Linked DNA regions of Caenorhabditis elegans. The protein of the gene in region 2 interacts with the protein of the main gene of each other region in a pairwise test. Each region holds a gene or a part of one and is shown on either strand. Other genes may lie near its edges. The genes, in order: W03D8.8, brp-1 and snrp-40.1.

Region 1 (3,756 bases), on a different chromosome or scaffold from region 2:
ACTTTTTCGTAAGTTTGCAGGCAGAAGGTGCCGGGTTTTATATCTTTGCATTGGACAATCTGTGGAATTTGGAATTCTAAACGAAAAAAATGAAGAAAACCTACATTTCCGGGGTACAACGTCTTATTGTAAATAGTATTAACCAAGGCACCGTCATCTAATCGATCATCTGAAAGAGTAAGACCTTATAGGCACGTAGGTAGGCACATGCTTACATTTGAGGCACATATAGAAGTTATTCTTCGACTTTGTTGCCTTGAACATTTCCCCTAGAACCATTCCATTCGAATGCGATTCGCATTCACCGAGAAGTTCTGCAGGATAATCGGCCATTTTCTCCATTTCGAGCACGTTATTTATACTCTTCATACTGGAAAAATTACTTGCCTACATGCCTGCCTACAGGCTTCCACTTACTCCGACGTGCAATTCATTCTCTTGAACAAAGTTTCATTAATAAGATCAGCTTCGGCGATAAAATTATTTTGAGATACAAAAACAACAACGTGTTTCTCTCTTCCGGTGGTGTATGAATAATAATAACTCGATCTGGAAACGAAGAAGGTAGGTAGGCAGGCAGGCAGGCCGAACTCACAATTCTACACTTCCACACTTTTCTAGTCGTTCGGCATTTTCAGCGTCCGTCAGCTTCAAGAAGTCCACAGTAGCTGCTCCACGAGCCAACAGAAGCAAGAGTAGAAAATTGATTAATTTTCCCATCAAAACCATTTGAGAGGAGAAATTGTAGAAATGATTGAAATTGTTAGGGATTCTTGGAATATAAATAGCTAGCGGGAAAGAATAAACGGGGATTTTTGAGACGTGTAAGGTTTACGCGAATATTTCAGGTTCTACATGCCAACCAGGGCTGGGACTTTTTTGGGGCCACAATCGGAAATGTCCGGCAATTGGCAATTTTGACAATTGCCGGTTTTGGAAGTTTCCGGCAATAGGCGATTTCGGCAATTGCCGAAATTGATTGCTGGACATTTCCCGCAATTTTCAAACCTTATTATATTTTGGAAATTGAACAAAGTTAACCTTATTTTTTAGTATTCGGTTAGCCATTATTCAAAAAAAAACGGTCAAAAGGATTAAATAATTTGGAGCTTGAAAATAGATAATTATTCATTAAAATGCATGTTTAGCCTCCTAAATCTATAAAAAGCTTCAAATTTATATTTCCGGCATATTAATCGGCAATTCCGGCGATTGCCGGTTTTCAAAATTTTCGGCAATGCCGAAAATTTGCTTGCCGAACGGCAATTGCGGCGCACCCCTGTTGCATATATTCCTGAGTGCCTATGGACCTACCTACATGCCTACCTTTTATTGTCGCCCCTAAATTACACCCCGACCCTCATAACAAACCTAAATGGCGTCATTAATAAAACTTAGCAGCCGACAAAATGTAGGCCAAAAAACATTTTTTTTCTGTTCTTTTCTCTGCGTTTTTTCAACGTGACCTCGAAGAGATAATACTCGGCCACCAATTTTTAAAGGATCTTTTTTGTGATCCTCAACTTGAAGCAACAGTGAGAGTGCACAAACCTCGGCCATGTCACTGGTTTTTATAGGTACCCACAATTCTACAGAATCATGGCCATAGCCGCGGATAGGGAAAACTAGGCTTACAGAACCAAAGTCATCAGCAATAACGTGGCCTAGAATGGAAGAAAACTCGGCCACCAACTTTTTTCCCTTCTAAACGAAAATTAGTTAATGACGGACAAACTGCATGAACCTCAACCAAGGTCACCCACAGATCCATGACCATGGCCGTGGATAGGAAAAATTTGTCCACTCTTACAAAACTGAAGTGGGGCGGTGGCCGAGGATTGAAAAAAAAACTCGGCCACCAACTTTTTCCCTTCATCGCCGCAAAAAAAGCAGTACCGTTCTTTTCTACCTCCCCAGAGTGCTCATTTTTCTCTGACCAAAGTCAAAATTAAAACTCTCACGAATTGATAAGAAGCTTTTCAACCACCCGCCTCCCTCCAGTCGTGTGATTGATAACTGTGTTTGATAACTATAACAGTGATTTGTACTCTCCTCACCCATTTGTACTCACTATGTTTCGTTCCTTCTAAAACCAAAAACTTTCAGCAATGCCGATTCATGTGGACAAACCGGACACAATGCAAAATGAGCTCATCGATATCGTGGCAGATGGGCTCCGATCGAATCAGATTTACACGTTTCGAATGATGTAAGACTTCAGTACATTATTTAAGTTCAAAAATTTTTGATACTGATGATTGATGTGTTGTGTAGTTTAGTAATTGCTATTTAGGCACAAGGCCAAAAAATGACCGAGGTGGCCGAGTTTTTCTTTTTTCAGCCACCTAGAAAATGCTGGGCGGTATCGAGGCTTAAAAATTTTAAACCTAGACTTTTCCAGCTTGAAACATGACTATGGAACTCACAAATCGGAAGCAACATTTCAAGCGGACCCCGCTGGAAGAATCGACTTGAAGTATGCGAAGCCCCTTAGAGGATCTTATTACGGTAGGTACACAATACCTAGAGTCACTCTAAATCAGATATTTAGATGCTGATCCGATGGGGTTGTTCCTTGGAATGAAGCCATGTGAGGATTTTGCATATGGTGGATATCTTCGGTGTACTCCGCCAGTTCCGTTTTATTATCTGTTGGAGTAAGTTTTATACTTTTTCTAAACTTTTGCTAGTTGCACTTCCTTTAAAAATTTCCGCCACAAGACTATGTACACAAACCCCTGCAAACATACAAAATTTCAGACTCTTTGATTCATCCGGAACCCTTATCGACTCTACCTACATCAAAAAGCACTGGATGCACCCAAAATTGATACGAACCGAGTTAGAGGAAGATTTCTGTGCGACACTCTTCAAACCTCCCGGTGATGGTCCCTTCCCAGTGGTCCTTGATATTTCAGGAACTGGTGGAGGAATCCATGAGCATAAGGGTGCTATGTTAGCTTCAGAGGGATTCGTTGTATTATGTCTTGCCTTTTTCCAGTTCAAGTATTTACCGCAAAAAATGGAAGATGTAGATATGGAGTATTTTGCAGTGAGTTGTAAAATTTGAGCACTAAAATTAGAAAGCTAATTCCAGAAAGCAATCAACTACTTAATTGATCTACCATTCACAAAAAATGTGATAGGTATACAGGGAGTCTCGTTTGGCGCAACTATTGTGGACTTGCTCACCACAAGACATGGCGATAAGGTAGGCAGAATTTATTGTTCTAGGTGAATGGCGCTAAATGATAGTTGACGAACTTCAGCTCAAATTAGTGGTGGACGGCAATTGCTGTTCGGCAAATTGGCAATTTTCCGGTTTGCCGATTTGCCGGAAATTTTCAATTCCGGCAATTTACCGGTTTGCCGATTTGCCGTTTGTTGGATATCAATTTGCCGAAAGTTTCGGCAATTGCCGTTTTTCCGGCAAATTTGGCAAATTGGTAATTCGCCGATTTGCCAATTTGCGTAAACTGCTAATTCCGGCAATTTGCTGATTTGCTGGAAATTTTCAAATCCGGCAATTTGCCGACTTTCCGGAAATTTCCAATTCCGGCACTTTGCCGATTTGCCTGAAAATTTCAATTCCATCAAATTGCCAATTTGCTGGAAATTTCAGTTTCGGCAAATTGCCGATTTGCCGGAAAAAAATCGTTTGCCGCCCACCCCTGTCTCAAATTCTGTCTGCCGCACATACTTTCGAAAAAGTGTTTAAAATTTAATAGAAAGCACGTGCAGGGGTAGCGTGTATGT
Region 2 (3,756 bases):
CATTTGTTGCATGTACATACGTTCCTCCATTATTTGTTGGAATTGTTGGCGGGCCTCCATCATTCGGTATTGCTGAAAAAATTGCTTTTATTGATTTATTAGACTCAAAATTGTCTGAAAATATCGAATTTCTTAATGAAACTTCTTAAAAACCTCTTGAAAAAAAAGTTATGGCAGCTCAAAAAATGGCCTAAAATTTTTAAAGCAGTTTAGCTGGCTTGAGGCGGGTAGGCATTCCCTTCAGGCAGGCCCTGGAACCGCGCCTGTCTATGGAAGCCCTACATATGCATATATATATATATATATATATATATATATATATATATATATATATATATATATATATATATATTTATATATATATATATATACAAATCCATATTTATGTATATATATGGTATAATTTGGTAACTAACCTCAATCTCATCTGGATGAAGTGGGCGATCCAAATTGGTAGAGGACTTCTCCTCAACTGATCCATCAACAGTTGTCTTCTTTTGACCTTCATTATTCGAAATATCCTCCACTACAACTACCCGAGCCAAGGGAATTGCCATCATTCCTGGATTTTCCGCAGAGTTTATAGTCTTTTCAGATGATCCATCAATTGGTTGAGCTAGAAGTGCCTCCATTTGTGGCTTGTTCACGGATGTTTCGGTTTTCTGGAATATCAATTAATTAAGTTTAAAAAAGCTTAAAATTAAAAAAAAACCCTGTACCTTGAAGAGATCAGGAGTAGCGGCGAGGAAGTAGAAACCGATGAGTGTCACCAGCAAAAGACACGTGGCAAAGAACATGCAATGGAAGCATGCTCTCATCGCCTGGAAAGCTGGCGATGGAGCAGGCTTCATTGGTGGAGCCGGCATTGGGATCACTGTGGGCTGGAGGACTGTGAACACCTGGAATAATTCAGATTTTGTTGATATTTCTACTAACGTTATTATTATTATTGTTACCGAATATATTCTTTGTGAGAAAATTTGAATTTCGCGCCAAAAAATGTTCTCAGAAAATTTGAATTTCGCGCCAAAAATTATTCTCGGATAATTTAAATTTCGCGGCAAAATACGTTTTCTCATAAAGTTTGAATTTCGAGTCAAATGTATTTTCTCATAAAACTTTAAATTAGCGCCAAAAAAATTTCTAATAAAATTTGAACTTCGCGCCAATATACGTTTTCTCAGAAAATTTGATTTTCCAGCTAAAATTTTTTTGTGAAAAATTTTGAATTTCGAGGCAAACTGTTTTTACACGTGGTGCCGGGCTGCCCCATCACGGTTTGATCTACAAAAAATGCAGGAACTTTTTTGCCCAAAAAACATGACGTCAGCCATGTTCTTAACCATGCGAAATCAGCTGAGAAGCCTGCGTCTGAAATCCCGCATTTTTTGTAGATCTATGTAGATCAAGCCGAAATGGGACACTCTGACACTACGACTTGTTACTCATAAAATTTGTAATTCGCGCCAAAACGTGATCTCTTAAAAAAAATTCGAATTTCCAGCTGAAATTTTTTTATGAGAAAATTTGAACTTCGCACTAAAAACAGTTCTCAGAAAATTTGAATATTTTTAATAGAAACTCACTTTTGGATCGATCTTGATAGACTCCTTCTCAACGTCCTCACTCCCGTGAACGCCGGGCTGTGCGCCTAGTTTGGTCATCTGTAAATGATTCTTGATTAGATATTCGAGTAAAAGACAAAAACAAAAAAAAGAGAAGAGATCAATGCGCACAATAGGAGAATTAGAGAAGCGGCTCACTTTCTCTCGCGGAGCATTAAACATTTTTGACAGGTTGGCATTCACGACTCTTCCGCGCGGTGTAGGAAAATGAACAAAAAATGATCTCCCGATGTTTTGATAGGAAGTGACACCAAGTTTTGAAGAAACACACAAAACGAGTTTTTAAAATAGCCGGCCACTTGGTTACTGTACACTTGAGAGAGGAATGACGTCATTCGTTTTTGTTTTTGACCAGAAAATCTCGATCAGATGATGATAAAGATTTCTGTGAAAAATTTTAAAATGATAAAGGATACTTTGATTTTTGATTTCTTTTCCATTTTTTGCAGCAAGGGTTTAAGGGCAGAGTATAATATACAAAGTTTGATGGTTCAGGTAAAAATAGGTAGGATGTGTTAATTCAAATGCGGAGGGTTTATTTTTCTCTTATTATAAATATTAATGTGCCTGCATACAAGGTGGAGTACGGCCTAAAATGAACAAATATCATAGTAAAGCTATTAATATAATTTCGGAACATTTTTCATTTTGAGTTAAAAAAAAAGTTCTGATTCCAGTTTTATGCTTTAATTATTTTTGAAATATTCATACATGCTGCAGATTCTTCGAAAAAATGTCTACATTTTTTTGAAATGTTTTAGTATGATTTTTGGTATTTTTAGCGCTCTGCATGATTTTTAAAAAATGTGAGTTATAATAATTTTTTTTGTAAATTTTGTGATTTTTAGTTAGTTAAACTCATATCGAGAACTGTCTTAAAACGAAAAAATTGGTGAGAAAAAGCCCGTTTGCTCTAAAAAATATTCATTTAGAACTAGTATTGGTGGGCGGCAAACTGCCGGTTTGCTGATATTCCGGAATTTTCGATTTTCGGCAAATTTCCGATTTGCCGGAAGTTTTTAGAGGGCTTTTTTATGAGACTGATAGTGAAACACGAAATTTCGAACAAAAAAAAAATGCAAAACCACAATCTGTCCGACAATTGCCGTTTTTCTGGAAAATGCGGCAAATCGGCAATTTGCCGGTTTACCGACTTGCTGAAAATTTCAATTCCGGCAATTCGCCAATTTGGCGGAAAAATTATTTACCGCCCAACCCTGATACATGCAACACTAACAGGGAAGTATGTATATACAGAAGTTTACGATACATACCGTATTTCCTCTATTAGTTTTGCACCCGCTTGCTCAACTTTGACAGCTCATATCTCAGTAGTTCTTTGTTCCATAGAAAAGTTGTCAACTGATAAAATTTTTGTGAGATGTTTTTCTATAGTTTGTAGTTTGTTAATTATTTATATGTTCAAAACAAAATGAGATATGAGCTGTCAAAGTTGAGCAAAGGGGTGCAAAACTAAAAGAGGAAATACGGTATATTCCAAATTATTTTTGTCCTATTATAAGTTATTATCGGTTTTTAATGTGGTTGCCACAATTTTAAATATTCTCCGATCAGAATTACAGTATTCCCCTCCCCCCCCCCCCACCTACGCTTGCCTACTTATTTTATTATTTCTTATTTCTCCCCCACTCTTGTGGGGGCACTCTTGTGGGGGCAGAGTCTCCTCCACCTTACTCAATTGACCGTTTCAAATGTCTTTCATTTTTCACATGAAAGAAAATTGTTGAAGGTTACCCTTATATTTTGACAAAAACATCACCTTCAACTGGCAAAAGAACAGAGTAGAAACGGTTCCACTTTGGGGGTTCAAGGTTAGGTTTTGTCTCGTATTGGAGGAAAATAACAGAACAAAAAAAAATATTTAGATGGAATTTGAAAATGTTTAGGTTTTTTATGAAATTTTGCAATTTTCAATAGACCAACAAAAGAGTTAATACGGTATTTACTTACTTATCAAATCCTATTACTATAAGGGATGTTACTATTTGAGGAGCATAATATTTAGTTTACCGTATTAGTATTCCCCCCCCCCCCCCAATTGTTCAACTTTGACAGCTTATATCTCAGTTATAGTTAGTTCTATTTAAAAATTGTCAACTAACAAAATATT
Region 3 (3,756 bases), on a different chromosome or scaffold from region 2:
TTGTCCCTCGAAGACATCCAGAATATCCTCCAAATAACAGAGCCCATTCTGAGAGTAACAATGAGTAACGAACACAATTCATTTGAAACTCACTGGATTGTATTTTTTCTTGTTGGCCGTTTTGAAATGTTTCTTGAAATCGTATTGATGTTCAGAGAGAAGCTCCATTTCTGCGACGACATGTGGGGTTCGATTTGTTGCGTATAAAAAGACAGCTAACTTTGGGAAAACCATCTCAAAGATTTGATTTTCCTTTGCATCCCATGGAAGTGGTTTTCTTGCTGCCCCAAAGAAACCACTGAGCTCTCGAAGTCCAATATCTGCAAAAAAAGTATTGACGCTTTTATAAACTTGAACTCAATCTCACTTGAAATTTTGCGAACGAATTCGTGAAGTAAACTTTTCTTCTCAACATAGGTATGAATATGCTCTGCAACAGCTTTTCTGTCTTCCCAGGATCTGATGGCATTGGCTGCGTTCATAACTGACATCGAAGTTTCGCCGAAGATGTTTGTGTATAAGGTAGGTGATTTTGTTTGAGAGAACCGTTCATTAATCTTCCTATATTGGGTGAAGCTTTTTTTCTCCTTAATCTTTCCTGGTGAGCTGAGTGTTGATGGTCCAAGCCCATTGTGAACATTATAATTGAGGGTTTGCATTGCACCTTCAGGTTTCGGGAAAGTGTACATCAGTTGAGCAAGCTGATTATTTGGAACTGCTGAATTGAAATTCTACGTAAACCTCCATATTTTGTAGTTTTGTTGCTTAATTAGCTGACTTTTACATAAATATAGCTTCAAAGTTTTCATTGTTAACAAAAATAAAAATGGCACTAAACAACCAAATTTCATATTCAGCTAGATACGCTAACGTTGACAATTTGTTTGCTAGAAAATACTTAATTTATATTTTTTGAAAGTTAAAATTTTGATGTACAACTCAGCACGTAAAAATTGTAAACTCAAACCCACCATTGAGTAAAGACGATCCAAAGATTCGTGCAGCCAAAAGCAATATAGTTTTAGTTTGCTGGAACTGTAGATATTCTTGAAGAACAGCATGGATTTTCTGATACTCTTGTTGGATTGACGTTAGACCCACTTGGCGCTCGCCAAAATTCATGAGACCGAACAAGCGTGAAAAGTCATCAACGTTTGCTGAAATTATTGTTACATTATTTTATTGGTGTTAACAATTGACTTACTTAATTCATGCAGAAGAACAGTGGAACGTTGTTGCAAAGTCTCAACGGCTTTTGGTCGGTCGTGTAACCACTCCATTTTTTCCTGCATTGAGAATTGATTAATGTGATTGAGTATACAAGTGGATATGTGCTCCAAAGGTTGGATATTTCTGTGATACTCAATCGCTCCGTCTATTTCCTCATTTCGTGTTCTTATATTTTCGTCATAGTAGGCCGGGCTGCTTGTATGGTTTGGTTGAACTGATTGATCATGTTGTTGGGTAACAAATTGGTTTTGTTGATTCGTAACAATTCGCTGAGTTATTTGATAAAGATTCAGCCTGTTCAACGCTTGCTGCGCCTGGAGCAATTGCTCTTGATCACTTTGCAACATCAGTGCCGCAATGAATTGATTGAGAAATATATTCTGAGTATCTGAAAACATATGAATTTATATGTAAAACAATCAAAACGAAAAAGCAACAATGAGAAACGGAAAAAAACTCTAAACTGATATAATGTACAAAAGATTCAGCATGGGAGGAAAGAAAAGTGGAGATGGCTTGGAGAGTTGGCAGGTTGCCAGGGGAACCTTTTTTGGCAAGCCTGATGCGTACGTAGCCTCAAGCGTTTTTTCGCCTTGATAACGTCTAAAGGTAACTGATAGCGGACAGAATCCAATGTTTATCTCCATGTCGTCTCCACTCTCCGTGTGAACCACGCTCTTCTGCCTAGTTGGCAAAAATTTGTTTTTTTTTCTGTAATGTGCACTCTTTCTCGTGGCCTCCACAAATTTCCATGCGGTCGTTGGTTGCCACACAGCAGCTCTTCTCACTCTTCTTTGTTTCTTTTTACTTTCCTTCTTTCCTATGCTCTCTTCTCAGCGCCGGCAGACATTGAGAGGAGACCCGACCTGCTGCCAGGGAGGGAGGACGAACGGCAAGTGTGCGCACTAGAAAATGTAAACGCGCTCCACCGCATTGCATTTACAACTCGTCTCCGCGTTTCTCACACTGCATCGTCATTGTCTATTCGAAAACGTCTTCCAGTGTTCAAATTTGTTTTTCCAGTGGAACCCAACATTTACCAACACAACGATGGCTCTTGTTACTTGTAAGTTTATTTTATAATTTTGTGTAATTTATTTTTATAAAACATTTCAGCTTCGGGACAGCAACTGGTCAGCTCTGGATTTCCACAGCAAACTGCGCAGAGATTCTCCAATTTGATGGTAAATATTAAACATTTATCAAACAACAAACAGAAATCTATATTTTCAGGCACCAACAATGGTTTTGCTAGGTCATGAAGGAGAAATTTACACCGGTGCATTCAGCCCAGATGGAACATGCTTAGCGACTAGTGGATACGACCAGAAAGTGAGTTTTTTTCAAATCCTTGTGGTCTCAAGAATTTATATTCAAATATTAAATTCTATGATTTAATTATTAATTGGTCTTTGCAAATAAGAACAATTGAACGTAGAACTTTGTATAGTCTTGAAAAAACCGAATATAAAACTACCTTCATACTAAACAACCCTTTTAAGCAATGATTTGCAGATCTTCTTCTGGAATGTATACGGCGAATGCGAGAACTTTTCTACAATCAAAGGACACTCAGGAGCAGTTATGGATTTAAAATTCACCACCGACAGCAGCAGTTTGGTCTCTTGTGGAACAGACAAAAGTGTTCGTGTCTGGGATATGGAAACCGGGACTTGCGCTCGTCGCTTCAGAACTCACACAGACTTTGTGAACGCCGTCCATCCGTCTCGTCGTGGTGTAACTCTTGTCGCTTCTGCCAGTGACGATGGAACATGTCGTGTGCATGATATGAGAACCAAGGAACCAGTGAAGACTTACACCAACCGATACCAGCAGACAGCAGTTACATTCAATGATTCTTCGGATCAAGTGATTAGTGGTGGAATTGACAACGTGCTCAAAGTTTGGGACATGCGTCGTGACGAGATTACTTACACTCTGACTGGACATCGTGACACAATTACTGGAATCTCTTTGTCACCAAGTGGGAAATTCATCATTTCCAATTCAATGGATTGCACTGTTCGACAATGGGATATTCGACCATTCGTACCAGGACAACGTTCGGTGGGAGTTTTTGCTGGTCATAATCACAATTTCGAGAAGAACCTTCTCAAATGTTCTTGGTCGCCATGTGAGAGATTCATCACTGCTGGCTCGTCGGATCGTTTTCTCTACGTCTGGGAAACACTGTCGAAAAAAATTGTGTACAAGCTTCCAGGTCACATGGGAAGTGTCAACTGTACCGATTTCCACCCAAAGGAACCTATCAGTGAGTTAAAAATAAATTACAAAAATTTAAAATTTCCATTGTTTGACCATTCAATAATTTCAATTTTTCAGTGCTCTCGTGTGGAAGTGACAAACGTGTTTTCTTGGGAGAAATCGATATGAGCTAGAAATTCAAAACATCCATATTCGCCGGTTAAATTTGTTTTTTGTCATTTTTCTGTTTTGTTTTTTTCACTGGATCTCCTTTTTTGATGTAATTTTTGAACTTACTTTATGTCCGACTCTCTTTATTTA

Evidence for each region.
Region 1: the proteins of brp-1 (region 2) and W03D8.8 interact in a two-hybrid assay, tested with the Caenorhabditis elegans proteins (one large-scale study listed by BioGRID).
Region 3: the proteins of brp-1 (region 2) and snrp-40.1 interact in a two-hybrid assay, tested with the Caenorhabditis elegans proteins (one large-scale study listed by BioGRID).

What each region holds. Positions count from the first base shown.
Region 1 is NC_003279.8:2,789,581-2,793,336, forward strand, and holds the start of W03D8.8 (BAAT/acyl-CoA thioester hydrolase protein), read left to right. Parts: upstream 1-2,106; 5' UTR 2,107-2,108; coding exon 2,109-2,209; intron 2,210-2,401; coding exon 2,402-2,508; intron 2,509-2,551; coding exon 2,552-2,657; intron 2,658-2,760; coding exon 2,761-3,052; intron 3,053-3,097; coding exon 3,098-3,211; intron 3,212-3,756. Other genes in the region: W03D8.1 (uncharacterized protein), read right to left, coding at 1-59, 105-169, 216-370, 418-549, 596-729.
Region 2 is NC_003281.10:12,018,460-12,022,215, reverse strand, and holds the start of brp-1 (uncharacterized protein), read right to left. Parts: upstream 1,665-3,756; coding exon 1,587-1,664; intron 900-1,586; coding exon 720-899; intron 663-719; coding exon 417-662; intron 73-416; coding exon 1-72.
Region 3 is NC_003284.9:11,298,125-11,301,880, reverse strand, and holds the start of snrp-40.1 (U5 small nuclear ribonucleoprotein 40 kDa protein), read left to right. Parts: upstream 1-2,096; 5' UTR 2,097-2,280; coding exon 2,281-2,296; intron 2,297-2,346; coding exon 2,347-2,414; intron 2,415-2,463; coding exon 2,464-2,562; intron 2,563-2,745; coding exon 2,746-3,502; intron 3,503-3,573; coding exon 3,574-3,629; 3' UTR 3,630-3,756. Other genes in the region: F08G12.3 (RasGEF domain protein), read right to left, coding at 1-48, 94-320, 368-718, 972-1,157, 1,205-1,577.